3 linked regions of the Cricetulus griseus genome follow. The protein of the gene in region 3 purifies or fractionates together with the protein of the main gene of each other region. This does not show direct contact. Links are inferred from orthologs where the notes say so. Each region holds a gene or a part of one and is shown on either strand. Other genes may lie near its edges. The genes, in order: Cpeb1, Cpsf1 and Sympk.

Region 1 (4,713 bases), on a different chromosome or scaffold from region 3:
GCATCATTATAAGACAAACTAAGCATGGATGAATGCTAGAGTCTGGATGTTCCCAAACATCCCAGAGGAGGTTTCAAAATGTGGTTCAATGATTGTGCCTGCACAAGATCAATCCAATGAACATTCCAGCATGAATAGGGAAAAAGCCCACAAGCCACTACTAGCTGAGAGCTTCTGGAAGAAGAAAGTCAGTTTTCTTTAAGGGTTATCCCTTAGTAGATGGACCACCATAAGTAGCACATCAGGACTAGGTGTGTGAGTTAGTGTGTGTGTGTGGGGTGTGTGTGTGTGTGTGTGTGTGTGTGTGTGTGGTGTGTGTGTGTGTGTGTGAGAGAGAGAGAGAGAGAGAGAGAGAGAGAGAGAGAGAGACAGAGACAGAGACAGAGACAGAGAGAGACAGACAGACAGACACTGGGCATAGTGATGCATGCCTTTTATTCCAGAACTTGGAAAGCAAAGGCAGGCTGATCTCTGAGTTTGAGGCCAGCCTGGTTTACATATTAAGTCCCAGGCTGACCACAGGTACAAACCCTGTCTCAAAAACAAAACAAAAAAACCCCAAAGAGTAACAGCACCAAAATAAAACAAAAAGATTAAATTGAGAGGAGTGGATGAAAAGGAGTAGGGTTGAACATGATCAAAATATATATTGTATGCATATATGAAAACATATTTTAATGTATTTTTTTAAAAGAGGTCTTTCAAAACATTAATACAGACACCACTCAGCAATTTACTAAAAACACAGACTTCTCAGGATCCACCCAAACCCAGAGTCAGATTCTCATTTCAACAAAGTTCTCAGGTGATGTGTACATACATTCAAGTCAGAAAAAGCATTGACTGCCAAACACACGCAGATCCCATCCATGTGCCACCACCCAGAGACACCCAATAGAAAGTTTCCATGGAAACTTTCCATGAAGTTTCCACCTCTGATGACTGTGGTTAGAACCCAGATACAAATACCAAAGCAGTCCAGAAGTTCAGAAATAAAGTAGGGGAAAACTCAGTCCCAGCACGGTGTGCTTAACTTTTTGGCATTGCAATACAATGCTCATTTCATGCTGGAGAACCATGAAATCCAGATATAAAACCAAACCAATACTTCACAAGGTGGGAGGGTCCTCCTAAAATTACAATTTTGGGTTAGGCAGTATTCATAGCTATCCAGAGGCAAACAGCGTCAGAGACTGTAGTTGGACAGACTTAGAAATGCTTGTCAGACTTAGAAAAAATATCAGCAGAGCTTGATTCATAGGTACCCAACTATCAAATGTCTGCAAACCCACTAACTGGGTATGATATCACATGCCACTGATCCTGGGGCTCTGGCAGAAGCAGTGAGTAAGAAAGAGGCTTGCTGCAAGCTCAAGGCTAGCTTGGCTACATGAGTCCCATAGCCTGTAAGGACTAAACAGTAAGACCATTTCCAAAAAAATAAAACAAAAAGCACCCACCATCACCAATGGCCATATTGTACAGTAGTAGCCCAGAAAGGGAAAGGGAAAATACAACGAGCACCGGACATACCTAGAGTGTGGACTAGGCTATCTATATTGTGCCCTCTTGATTATTGTCTCTATGCTCTCAGACATCACAAGTTGCCTAAGAATTTTAATACTCAATGCCATAAATGGACCTTAACACATTTTTTAAAAATTGTGATAGGAACTTTGTAGACATTTCTAGTGCCCAGGGAACTCACCTGATCTCGACAGAAGAAAGGGCCAGGCTGTGAACTGCAGATAAGACACAGAGAATCTTCTAGATAGGGGTCAATCTGAACCTGAGGAACAGCAACAGAGGGAAATAAAATGGTTTTATGGGTCAGATGAACTTTAGTAGCTTATTATTGAACACACAGGGATGTAGGATGTTTGTCTGTTCTAATGGAGGCTAGACAGAATTGTGGGCCAGGGTCTAATACGGCTCTTAGTGGATAGACTCCTATCCTACAGAAACAAGAGCTGGTTGCTTCCAACATTTGACAGCCACAGGCTTTATATTGCCTATGCTCAGCAAAATGAACCCTGGCTCTCCATTATCCCTTTTAACAGGGAAGGGTTCAGAGGAATCAGGTATAAGGGGATAAAGAAAGTCAATCTAGGGGCTGGAGAGATGGCTCAGTAGTTAAGAGCACTGACTGTTCTTGCAGAAGTCCTAAGTTCAATTCCCAGCAACCATCACAACCACTGAAATCTGGTATCCTCTGCTGGCATGCAGGCAGAAGACATAATAAATAAAATCTTTTTAAAAAAAGTCAATCTACTTAGCAATTTCAGATAAATATCAAAATGAGGGAACTTCTCCCCACCCACACCTACTCAGGCACTAACAGTCTTGGTCCCTTCCTCCTGAGTCCCCTGAGACAAAGCCCACCTCAAACCCTGAACTCAGGCCAACTTGGCAGTTGGGCTCATTGCCCTAACCTTGGAACTATGCCATTTTTGTAAATGATTCAAGTCTCTCTCAAAGTAAGAGCATCAACCAGACACTCACCTTCTTGGTAAACTTGGTGGTTTTGATCTCCACAAAAGCAGCGCTGACTGCTTTCAGGTAACTACGTTGGTTATTGAAAGTCACTCGACCAGACCCTAGGAAAACCGGGCACAAGCTTACACATTCCTGCTCAAATTCTCTTAAGTACTCAAAAAACTCCGTTTCTATACCAGTGCTGTCTGACATAAATGTAAGTAAGTATGTAATTTCTAACTTAGTGCTTGTCACAGCAAAATTGAAAGTAGTGGAATTTTAATAATATAGTTCACCTATGTGTTCAAGATTCCTTTTCCAAGACAGGGTTTCTCTGTGTAGCCCTGGCTGTCCTGGAACTCTCTGTAAACCAGACTGGCTTCAAACTTACAGAAATCCACCTGCCTCTGCCTCCCAAGTGCTGGGGTTAAAGGCTAACGCCACCACTGCCTGGCTGTGTTCCAGATATTTTAACACCTAGGAGAAGCTGCATTCCAAGTGCTCAACAGATACCTCCTGTTGGTGGCTATCACACTGGACAGTAACATTGTAAGACATGTTAGTGTAAACCATTTAGCAAAGAGGGAAAGGATGGGGTTCCTCCTATGCACACAGATGCGCAGAGAAAGGTAAAGGGCTCAGTTGGCACCCAAGCTGCAGACTAAACTGTCTCTGAAGGGTAGAAATGGCGATCAAACCTTGTCTGACCCAGAGGAACCTTAGAGAACTAGGAACTAGCAGAAGAATCCCTTCCTGCCAGTGCGATCCCTGCCCCTATAAGCCTCTGAAGTCCTAGTTCTCCATCTTCAGCACAGCACTGGCAAGCACTCAGTGCTCCTCCCTGACCAGATTCAGTGTAGGTGAGCAGACCAAGCTTCTAGGAAGGTGGATTAACTATATATATGCCTCGATCAGAGTTCAGGTCTGCTCCACTTCCAAACCCCATCACTGTGGTTGCTGTACTAAATCTTTCTCAGAAAAGCTGATCAAAAGTCAGTGGTTAGGACAGACTACCTTAGGGTAGAACAGCTCAATAGCTGTACCAGTTTCTGAGAAATTCAGAAAGCACCTTTGATCTGACCTTGTCTCTTACTCTAGACAAGATCAAAGATGTAAAAACAAAACATTTTTTTCCTTGCTTCCTGACAAGGTCTCACTATGTAGCCCTGGCTGCCCTGGAATTCTCTCTGTAGACTGGATTGGCTCTGAATTCAGAGATCCACCTGCTTCTGTCTCCTAAGTACAAGCATGTGCTACCATGACTGGCAAGAACTTTTTTTGTGGTTTTTCAAGACAGGGTTTTTCTGTGTAGCTTTGGAGGCTGTCCTAGAGACCAGGCTGGCCTCAAACTCACAGAGATCCACCTGCCTCTGCCTCGAGAGTGCTGGGATTAAAGATGTGCGTCACCAACGCCTGGCTGGCAAGAACTTTTAATACAGGAAACTGGGCAAGTTCTCAGTAAATTATGTCTTTAAATGCAATACTAGCTACAGTTTGTCCTAAACTGGTTTGGCTGTGTACTTTGAATCTCAACCAACTTTTCCCCTCATTTTCACCAATATTATCATAAATCCTACAATCACCCTTTTTCCCAGTGTGGGAAACAGGAGCAGAGTCAAGATGCAGATGGGCCAGTATTGGTAACTTCTGGAGGAAAAGATGATTTGCAAACCCAGGTCAGTTCTCTCTCCACTCTCAAGGGCAAGTATTACAATTTTAATTTACTCCCAGGGGCACCAAGCCTTCCCACACAGAAGTAGGACACTCACCAATGGGGTACTTGTGCTTATCTGTGTCAATCCCAGCATACACCACTCCACCAAATAGGTCATTCAAGATGGCAGCCAGAGCCTCAGCATTGAGCATCCCGTGCAAGGCACCAACAAACACCGTCCTGCTGGGATCCAGCCTCTGAGATGGGCTCCAGACAAAGTTGCTGTCAGCCAAGACCCAAGGGATTACCTGCACCTGAAAATGCCCCCAAAGGTTTATCAGCTGGCAGCTTCAGAGAGCCTCCTGTATGGTAGAACACATGCTCTGGATATTACAGCTGCAGCTGCTAAAGTTGTGCAGGGGTGAAAGGGTGTTGTCACTCATGTGAGGCACACAGGTTTCCAGTAAGGCATCCTTATCCAACCCAACTTGAATTGGATTTCCTGTGTCCATGTGTTCATAAGGGTGAGAGAAACTACAACAGAATTTGCTCATTCTGCAGAGTAAGCAAGAAGTACCAAATTG
Region 2 (5,717 bases), on a different chromosome or scaffold from region 3:
CAGAGCAGGACAGAAGAATGGACAGATCATAGCCAGCCTGCCCCTTCTGGATTTGTCCAAACATGACCACAGTGTGTCTTGACAGACTGTGCCTATCTATCCTAGGTAGCCTGTCACAAATCAGTGACTGAATTGAGCCCTCCATCATATCCATTCCCTGTCACCTTGCACTTGAGTCTATGGGACAGGAGGAACCATACTGTTCTGCTAGGGCCAAAAAACAGGAAGCTGCTATTTTAGCTTCAGCTTTTGTTTCAAGATCTTTTATTTTATTTAATTAATTTTTTTCATTTATTTTACATGCCAACCACAGTTTCTCCTCCCTCCTCTCTTCTCATTCCCCTCCACCAACTCTATCTCCCATTCCCTATCTACCCCTCTCCCCATCCAAACCTCCGTCTCCATTCAGAAAGGGGCAGGCCTTTCGTGGGCTTGAACAAAGATCCTCCCCTTGCATAAAGGCTGAGTGAGGTAATCCAGCATGGTGAATAGGTTCTCAAAAGCCAGCTAAGATCCAGGGACAGGTCCTGATCTCAAGGATCTATCTTTTGAATGTGCCCTAACCATTAAAAATCCAAACAGTAGCCGGGCATTGGTGGCGATGCCTTTAATCCCAGTCCTTGGGAGGCAGAGGCAGGCAGATCTCTGTGAGTTTGAGACCAGCCAGGATGACATATAGCTAGTTCCAGGACAGCCTCCAAAGCCACAGAGAAACCCTGTCTCGAGAAAAAAAAAAAAAAAAAAATCTAAACACTTGCTGGGCATAGTGGCACACGCCTTTGATCCCAGTACTTGGGAGGCAAAGGCAGGAGGATCTCTGTGAATTCATTCGAGACCAGCCTGGTCTACAAGAGCTAGTTTCCAGGGCAGGCTCCAAAAACACAGAGAAACTCTATCTTGAAACTCAAGGCCCCCCCCCAAAAAAAAAATCTAAACACTCAGCCGGGTATGGTGATGCACCCCTTTAATCCCAGCACTTGAGAAGCAGAGGTAGGAGGATATCTGTGAGTTCAATGTCAGGCTGGTCTACATAGCAAGTTCCAGGATAGCCAGGACTACTATACAGAGAAACTCTGTCTCAAAACACCTACCCTCAAAAAAGCAAACACTCCTGTTAATTACCAGTGTACAGTTATGCTGTTCTCTCCCTTGCCTTTAAAATCCTTTCTCTTGACTTGAGTTCTGTTCTTAGCACTCATACCAGGCAGCTCACAACCACCTTTAATTCTAGCTCCTACCCCTGGCCACCATGGAATAACAACACTACCAGAATAACTGCTAAGACCAAATCTAGACCAGTTACCCACAACGCTGGCAAAATTTTGGCAACACTGTCGGTTCCTCTCTATCTATCCTGAACCTGATGGCTTCCTATCACCTCATAGCTATACTGGTCCAGGCTACTATTAATGCTTGCCTAAGCTGGGCGGGTGGTGGTGGTGGTGGTGGTGGTGGTGGTGGTGGTGGCGGCGGCGGCGGCGCACGCCTTTAATCCCAGCACTCGGGAGGCAGAGGCAGGTGGATCTCTATGAGTTTGAGACCAGCCTGGTCTACAAGAGCTAGTTCCAGGACAGCCTCCAAAGCCACAGAGAAACCTTGTCTCGAAAAGCCAACAACAACAACAAAAAATTCTTGCCTAATAGCTATAGTCACTTCCTGACTAGTATCCTTGGCCCTCAGTCAAGCATAAGTTGGGTAAGATCATTTATTTGCCAAAATTCCCTACTTGGAGAATGTGGAATAGAGCCCGAGACCCACCTTGTTACCTCCTATCTGCTCTCCCTGCCTTCCTCAATCCCTTAGCCTATATCACAAAACAGTTTTGTTTGAAACCACTTTGTCTAACTCCTACATACTTCTTCATACCTGGTTGTCTATTTAAATCACATCTTCTACAGAGGTGAGATTTTCCAGGAGCCCTGCCCAGATCTGCTGCCCTACATCTCCCTATCTGTATGTGGCCTGTCATTCACTATGGGCAAACTCCACACAGAAGGCTTCTCCCCAGATATCTCACATAGCAGATACTAATAAATGTCTGAGAAAGCCAGGCAGTGGTGGCTCATGCCTTTAATCCCACTCCTCAGAGGCAGAGGCAGGTGTATCTCTGAATTTAGTTTCCAGGGTGGGTTCTAGGGCAGCCAGAACTACACAGAGAAACCCTGCCTTGAAAAAACAAACAAAAAAATATGATCCCTCTCTCATGGTACCCAAGGTTTTTCCACCTCATGTTTCTGCCTGGAACACCTCCCTATCAGCAGAGATATGTGCTGCACCTTGACTAAGAAGCCGCCTCTTTAGTCAGGGGCTGGAGTGATGGCACAGCTATCAAAAGCACTTGCTGCTCTTACAGAAGACCCATTAGGCACAAACACTGATCTCCATGGACACCAAGGGTACATGTGGTGTACATATATATATGTAGGCAAAACATTCACATAAAATCAAATAATAAACCTAATTTTTAAAATTTAGGAGAATCCAGAGCGAGTGCCAGGATAGGCTCCAAAGCTACACAGAGAAACCCTGTCTCAGAAAAAAAAAACCAAAAAAATAAAAATAAAATAAAATTTAGGAGAAAAGGGACCAGGGATATGGCTCAGCAGTTAAGACCACCACCTTCTTCCAGAGGACCCAGGTTAAATCCCCGGCACCCACATCACAACTCTCTGTAACTCTAGTTCCAGAGGATCCGACACCTTCATACAGGCATACATGTAGGCAAAAACACCAATGTACATGAAATAAAAATCAATAAAATTTTTAAAAATTTTAGAAGCTGCCCTTTTGGCTTCATTTGTGTTTTGTTTGTTTGTTTTGAGACAGAGTCTCATTATGTAGCCCTGACTGGCTTGGCCACTTTAGACTGGAACACTCGGAAATCTGTCTGCTTCTGCCTGAGACTGAAGGCAGGCAATACCAAGTTCCACGGAAATTGCCTCTTGCAAGAAGGCTTCCTGAGGAGATGGAGAGATGACTCAGTGGTTTAGAGCACTGGCAGCTCTTGCAGAGGTCCTGAGTTCAAGTCCCAGCAACCATATGGTATGAGATCTGGTGTCCTCTCCTGGCCTGTAGGCATACATGCAGGCAGAGCACTGTATACATAATAAATAAATCTTTAAAAAAAAAAAAAAAGCATTCTGAACCATTTGGTGTCACTATAGCAACCAAAACATCCCTATACCTTATCTATTGATGGGTTTGTTCCACTTTACCACATCTACTGCTAGGAGTCGGTTCCCAAACTATATCTGGCCTTGCTTCTTTATTTAGGCCCAAGTGTTCTTCCCCCCAACAAACTTTATCAGTCTCGGAAAAGCTCTTGTTGTTTGGAAGCACCCAGCCTCCTTCACTGGGTCTTACTCCCGGAGACTTTGCGGCAGTCTGTGTATATTCATTTACTAAAGCATCATCTCCCTCAAGGGTCTGGTTCACTGCCATGTCCTTACTGCTAAGCACACGGAAGGTCTGCAGCAATCTTCTGGAAATGCCAAAGAACAAATAGCAGACAGTAGGCAGGGTAGTAGGCATCCTACCCTACTCGCAGGGTAGGATGAGGCCAAACAACGTGGTAGTGGAGAATCGTCTCTGGGGACAAGAGACCTTAGGCAAAGCTCGGCCCCTGCACCGTGGAACCTGCCGAGGTGACTGCGGTTCGGACTCGGCATCGCCGCTCAGGAGACACGGCTTACCTCGGCGTCGCGGTTCAGGCGGTACACATAGAGCTGTGAGGTGCCGGCCACCACGAGGTTGCGCTCATTGTTGTTGAAGAAGTTGCAGTACATGGCAAACTCCAGCCCGGTGGGCGGGTGTGCCTGCTTGTATACCGCATACATATTGCCGCCACTGTCACGCCGGGGCTGTCGACTCGGGGGACAGGGACCGCAGCGGACTCGGTCCGGCCGCGCGCGCAAACCCGGCTACAAGGTTCCGAGTTCTGCGCCTGCGCTTCCCGCCCGGACCTGCCTTCCAGGAGGACCAACCTGGTAGTCGAGAAACACGGTTCCGGACTACTTGGCCTGTGCGCCTGCGCGCCGAGGCTGCCCTCGAACCGCGGCCCCTAGTGGCCTAACTTGATAAGAGCTGAAGAGCCTGGTCCTAGAACTAGTCGGCTCTGGGCTGGTAGACACTCCGCTCCCTCCAAGGTTTTCCTCATTAGCTAAATCCAGAACCTTGAAATCCCAGTAAATATATAGGCCCGGAAAAGGATACAGAAACATGCAAAGTCACACTTCACCTGCTCACTCAGTGGATGAGGGTCTATTTGGATGTCTAAGTTGGGAGGGGACCCTTGTATCACACTAAGGATCTCTCTTTTTTTTTTTTTTTAAGATTTTATGTATCTATTATATATACAACATTCTGCTTCCATGTATATCTGCACACCAGAAGAGGGCACCAGATCTCATAACAGATGGTTGTGAGCCACCATGTGGTTGCTGGGAATTGAACTCAGGACCTCTGGAATAGCACCTGGTGCTCTTAACCTCTGAGCCATCTCTCCAGCCCCCATGGGATCTCTTTTTTTAAAAAAGTATTTTGTTGCCGGGTGTTGGTGGCACACGCCTTTAATCCCAGAACTGGGGAGGCAGAGGCAGGCAGTTCTGTGTGAGTTCGAGGCCAGCCTGGTCTACAAGAGCTAGTTCCAGGACAGCCTCCAAAGCCACAGAGAAACCCTGTCTCAAAAAATAACAACAACAACAGAAAAGTATTTTGGGGGCTGGAGAGATGGCTCAGCGGTTAAGAGCACTGACTATTCTTCCAGAGGTCCTGAGTTCAATATCCAGCAACCACATGGTGGCTCACAACCACCTTGAGTGAGATTTGCATGCAGGCAGAAGACTGTATACATAATAAATAAATAAAATATTTAAAAAGTATTTTGTTGTTTCCCTTATTTATTTATTTATTTATTTATTGGTTTTTTGGGACAGGATTTCTCTATGGCTTTGGAGGCTGTCCTGGAATTAGCTCTTGTAGACCAGGCTGGTCTCGAACTCACAGAGATTCACCTGCCTCTGCCTCCCGAGTGCTAGGATTAAAAGCATGTGCCACTAACGCCCGGCTTGTCTTGTTTTTCTAGTCAGGGTTTCTCTGAATTGCTTTGGAGGCTGTCCTGGCACTCACCCTGTAGACCAGACTGGCCTCGAACTCACAGAGATCCACCTGCCTCTGCCTCCCCTTTGTTTATGTTTTAAGTCAAGGTCTTGCTACATATCCCTGGCTGTCCTAGAACTCAGCTGGCCTCGAATTCACAGAGATCTGCCTGCTTCTTCCTTCCAAGTGCTGGGATTAAAGCAGCACAGTCCTGCTGGCACATACACACATAATTTAAATAATAAAATCTTAGCCACTGATGGTGGCACACGCCTTTAATCCCAGCACTCAGGAGGCAGAGGCTGGTGGATCTCTGAGTTCGAAGACAGCCTGGTTTACTGAATGAGTTCCAAGACAGCCAGGGCTACACAGAGAAATCCTATCTCAAAAAAACAAAATAAGGGCTGGAGAGATGACTCAGAGGTTAAGACCACAGACTGCTCTTCCAAAGGTCCTGAGTTCAATTCCCAGCAACCACATGGTGGCTCACAACCATCCGTTATGAGATCTGGTGCCCTCTTCTGGTGTGCAGATATACATGGAAGAAGAATGTTGCATACATAATAAATAAATAAAATCTTTAAAAAAAAACAAAATAAAATAAAATCTTCAAAACAAAA
Region 3 (5,092 bases):
GCAACCACATGGTGGCTCACAACCATCTGTAATGATACCTCATTCTGACCTGCAGGGCACAGGCAGGTCGAAGATTGTCTGTATACTTAATAAAATAAAATCTTAAAAAAAAAAAAAAAAAAGACCCGTAAGCCACTGTTATGCTCACGACAAGAAGGTCTGAAACAAGGGTTGGTGCAATGGCTTAGAGGGAAAAGGGGAACTGAGTCCAGTCTTTGGAACCCACATGAGTTGGAAAAAGCCATTCCTTGTGATGCTCATGGCCACACCGACACTGGAGTTGTATTTGTGTCAATGTTCATAATTTATACTTCAAAGAACAAGCTGGTGCCAAGCATGGCTCACACCCATAATTCCAGCACTCAGGAGACTAGGCAGAAGATTGGTGCAAATTAGAAGCCAGCATGGGTTGCACAACAAGACCTGGTCTCAAAGAAGACAAAAGCCTGCCCTGCAGAGATGCCTTAGGCGTGAAGAGCACTTGCTGTTCTCGCACAGGACCTCAGCTTTGCTCTTAACACCCACAACTCTTGTGATTCCTCCATCACCAAGAGATCTGACGCCCTCTCCTAGCCTGAGGGCACACACAAAAAAACAAAAAAATGCACAGGCGAAATAAGGGAAAGACTCCAAAGTTCAGAGTCTCAGTAACCTGACACAGTCAGTATGGTTCAGTCTGGACCTCAAGGTGAAGTCTGTTAGATTTCAAAGCCCAGGACCTGAAGACATTGAGCATTCTATATAATGGTGGAACACCTTAGATGGCGCATGACCTTCATCTCCACAGCTTTTCCAGAAAGAGAGTCCAGTGCCAAGGCCTGGCCTGGGTCAGCACAAGACTCACCAGGTCCCAGTCCTGCAGCTGTCATCTGTGTGGCCATGAGCCGAGCCAGGTGCTTGATCTGGGCTTCGGTGCCTGCAGACTCCACCGGGGTGTAGATGGCTTGGAAGGAGGCAGGCATGGTCTCAGGTAGGTACACCATGCTGATGAGGACCTGCAGGAGGCCCGGGGAGGGGAAGCCTTAGCCAGTTCAGTCTAGAGCAGCATGGAAGGAGCAGCAGGAACTGAGGCTGGGCTGGGCCTGCACTCCTTGTCTTAGCTCTCTGGGAAAACAATGACCACCGGGCTGTCCACCTGGGAGTCTCCCACCCCCCAGAACAGAGTGAGTAGACAGGGAATGGGATAATGAGGATAAATGGCTTCTCGAAGGAGGAGGGGTGAGAGGAAAGGCCTATCCAAGGGACAACCTAACCCTCCTCACCAGATTGGCCACATTGTCAGGTGTTAGCAGAGGCTGCAAGAACTCAGCAGTGATGTCCGTGTCTGACTGGCCTGAGATCTGGGCTGAGGCCTTTGAAGTCCCTGATGGGCCAGGTTCCAAGTCTTTGTCCTCATCATCTTCTCCCAAGTTGGGCTCTGAGAAGGGAAGAAGGGAAAAGGCTGGCTTTCTAGACTGCAGCTGGACCTGTGTCAGGGAGCCAGGGGACCCTGCCTCTAGCAAGCCACTGCATGAAGCAGCCACACAGCAGGCAAGGAAGGACCTAAGCTGCAGTTTGTCATGGCCGTGAAAGTGACATAGGGCCCCAGGCACCCACCTCTTCCTGGTGCCCCGGTCTCATCTGGAACATGGCAAAAAGCCAAAAACCTCTAGCTGATCACATTAAGCTCTGAGATGACGATACTATTAATATAGTCCATACTGAGGATGGAACGCAGGACCCTGTACTCTCTAGGTAGGTGCTCCCAGTGAGAGACAGCATGCTGTTACTGTCCCTATCACTGACACCATTCTACGTCACCTTCTAAAGGAGATGCTTCTTGAGTTTAAGTATATGGGTATTTGCCTGCATGTATGTATATCTGTGCACCATGTGTGTGCATGTGGAAGTCAAAAGAGGGCAAGGATCCCCTAGGATTGGGCTAACAAATGGTTATGGGCTGCCATGTCACCACTGGGAATTGAACCGGGGTCCTCTGAAAGAGTAGATACCACTCTTAACCCTTGAGCCATATCACCAGCCCCAACCAGCCTCCCTTTTTTGAGACACTGTCTTATGTAGCTCAGGCTGGCTAAAATTTACTATCTATCTCAGACTAGTTGGGACCTGGACCCTCCTGATTGAGACCCCAAGTGCTGGGATCAGAGGCATGCACCACCATTCCTTGCTAGAAGACTGGCATTCCACAGCAGGGGACCGCTCAGGAGATATGGACACAGTGTTAGCTGGGTGAGCGCGTGAGAGACACATGGGCCAAACACAATGTGTGATGGATACCCATGAACAGCACACAGGCGCCTCCAGTACCACTTCTGCAACGTGTCTGTCCATCCAAAATCACTTTAAAACAAGAAGCTTAAGGAAATACGGAGCTGGACAAATGGCTCAACCGTTCAGAGCATTTGCTGTTTTTCCAAACACCCAAATTTGGCATCCATCACTCATGACACACAGCTTACAAATGCTTGTAACTCCAGTTCCAAAGGGTCTAATGGCCTCTTCCCGCCTTTGTGGGCAACTGCACTCATGCATACACGCACGCACGCACGCACGCACGCACACCCATATGTGTATACACCATTAAAAATAAAAGTAAGTATTAGCCGGGTGGGCAGTGGTGGTGCACGCCTTTAATCCCAGCACTTGGGAGGCAGAGACAGGCAGATCTTTAAGTTCAAGGCCAGCTTGATCTACAAAGCAAGTTCCAGAACAGCCATGGCTACACAGAGAAACTTTAAAAAAAAAAAAAAGGGGGGGGGGCGGTCTGGAAAGATAGCTCAGTGGTTAAGAGCACTGGCTGCTTTTCCAGAGGACCCAGGTTCAATTCCCAGCACCCACGTGACAGCTCACAACTTCTGAAACTCTAGTTTGTGATTGGTGTGACACCTTCACACCAATGCACAGAAAATAAAGTTAAATAAATTATTTTAGCCGGGCCCTGGTGGCACACCCCTTTAATCCCAGAACTCGGGAGGCAGAGGCAGGCAGATCTCTGTGAGTTCGAGGCCAGCCTGGTCTACAGAGAGAGTTCCAGGACAGGCTCCAAAGCTACACAGAGAAGCCCTGTCTCGAAAAAAAAAAAAAAAAAAAAAATATATATATATTATATATATAATATATAATAAATAAACAGGGGGCTGGAGAGATGGCTCAGAGGTTAAGAGCACTGACTGTTCTTCCAGAGGTCCTGAGTTCAATTCCCAGCAACCACATGGTGGCTAACAACCATCCGTTATGAGATCTGGTGCCCTCTTCTGGTGTGCAGATATACATGGAAGCAGAATGATGTATACATGATAAATAAAATCTTAAATAGATAAATAAATAAACATAAAAAACAAATCTTTAAAAAAAAAAAAAGTAAGAAGAGAAAATTGACTTTAGACAAACTCAATGCACAACCCCTCGAAGTGTTTTCCTTTGGGAGTGTTCTATGGTGAGATGCACAGGACAGTCCTACAGCAGGGGCAGAAACAAGATGCCCACAAATGTAACTGGCAATGTTTCCATGCACATTGCAGAGTACCTGACCACCATTAAAAAGATGCAAGGCAGAGGTAGAGGTAGCTTAGACTTGAGAACACCCAGATAGTGGTTCACAACCACCTGTAACGCCAGTTCCAGGGGATCTGGTACCGCCTTCTGTCTTCCGGAGACACCAAGCGTGCATGTGGTAAACATACATGTGTACAAGCAAGACACTCACACATAAAATGAATGAATCTGATGAAAACGTTAAAATAAATAGTGAAAAGATGAAGGGCCAGCAACAGGCTCAGTGGGGAGAGGTGCTTCCCTCTCGCACAAACCTGAAGATCCCAGTCTGATCCCCAGAAGGAGAGGACAGGTCCCACAAAGTTGTGCCCTGGCCTCCATACACGCACTTGGCATATGTGCTCCCCTCCCCCATTAAAAAAAAAAAATCGCAGTAGAATCTCCTCCACAGAAACTTAAAGGAGAGCAAAGTATTGCTCTCCCTCACTGAGCAACGGAGAAATATAGCTAAAGGCCACAGCAACCCTTATGAAGTTAATTCCATTTGAATACAAAAAAGAATTTCGGGGCTGGAGAGATGGCTCAGAGGTTAAGAGCACTGACTGCTCTTCCAGAGGTCCTGAGTTCAATTCCCAGCACCCACATGGTGGCTCACAACCATCTGTAATGAGATCTGGTGCCCTCTTCTGGTGTGCAGATGTACATGGAAGCAGAATGTTGTATACATAATAAATAAAATCTTAAAAAAAAAAAAGAATTTCATAGCTGGGTGCATTGGCACACATCTGTCATCCCAGCACTTCGGAAGCAGAGGCAGGTGGATCTCTATGTGTTCGAAGGCCAGCCAGGACTACATAATGACATCTTGACAAAAGCAAGACAAAACCCCAACATAATTTCAGAAATATCCTACACACAGAGATGACATTTTAAAAAATGTTGGTATTAAGAGGCTGCTATGTCAACACTATTGTTGAGTACCCCAGAAATCACCTCAGAGCTGGGGAGGTGACACACACCTGCAATCCTCACACTTGGAGACAGAAGACCGTGTCTCAATAAAAAACAAAAATGTTCAAGTTTTCAAAATTAAAAACAAAAACAAAAACCCTGAGCCAGATGGTGGTGGTACACGCAAAGCTTTAATCAGCACTCAGGAGGCAGAGACAGGTGAATTTCTGTGGGTTCAAGGCCAGCATGGTCTACAGAGTGAGTTCCAGGACAGCCAGGACTACACAGAGAAAGCCTTCTCCAAAAACCAAAACAAAAAAAGAAAAATCCAATTATATATATCAAGTAAAGGAAAAGCGCCTTCTACACACGTATAAAACAGGAACGAAAACACAAAGAACACACCACTCGTCACTCACTTCCTTTTTGTAACATCTAAATGAATCCTAATTGGCCACACACCCACCATCCCAGCAGTCCAGAGATGGAGGCAGAAAGACCAAGGTAAGGTCACCCTCTCCTAGACTCAAGTCCCTACAAACACCACAGTTAACTTACTTGGGTATGTTTCCCACATCACACTATGGAATGCCCTGTGTATTCATTAATGCAACTTGGCACAGTGTAACAAAGCCAGGCCTTATAC

What was found.
Region 1: the proteins of Sympk (region 3) and Cpeb1 purify together in Homo sapiens (affinity purification with mass spectrometry; 3 studies listed by BioGRID and IntAct, counting the BioPlex papers as one, with this or other methods). This does not show direct contact. The link is inferred for Cricetulus griseus from reciprocal best matches to the Homo sapiens genes SYMPK and CPEB1.
Region 2: the proteins of Sympk (region 3) and Cpsf1 fractionate together in Homo sapiens (co-fractionation; 5 studies listed by BioGRID and IntAct, with this or other methods). This does not show direct contact. The link is inferred for Cricetulus griseus from reciprocal best matches to the Homo sapiens genes SYMPK and CPSF1.

What each region holds. Positions count from the first base shown.
Region 1 is NC_048596.1:116,223,016-116,227,728, reverse strand, and holds part of Cpeb1 (cytoplasmic polyadenylation element-binding protein 1), read right to left. Parts: intron 4,444-4,713; coding exon 4,245-4,443; intron 2,598-4,244; coding exon 2,503-2,597; intron 1,790-2,502; coding exon 1,709-1,789; intron 1-1,708.
Region 2 is NC_048595.1:373,880,600-373,886,316, forward strand, and holds the start of Cpsf1 (cleavage and polyadenylation specificity factor subunit 1), read right to left. Parts: upstream 3,913-5,717; 5' UTR 3,837-3,912; coding exon 3,693-3,836; intron 1-3,692. UniProt on the Homo sapiens protein: Component of the cleavage and polyadenylation specificity factor (CPSF) complex that plays a key role in pre-mRNA 3'-end formation, recognizing the AAUAAA signal sequence and interacting with poly(A) polymerase and other factors to bring about cleavage and poly(A) addition.
Region 3 is NC_048602.1:28,328,802-28,333,893, forward strand, and holds part of Sympk (symplekin), read right to left. Parts: intron 1,418-5,092; coding exon 1,263-1,417; intron 996-1,262; coding exon 845-995; intron 1-844. UniProt on the Homo sapiens protein: Scaffold protein that functions as a component of a multimolecular complex involved in histone mRNA 3'-end processing. Specific component of the tight junction (TJ) plaque, but might not be an exclusively junctional component. May have a house-keeping rule.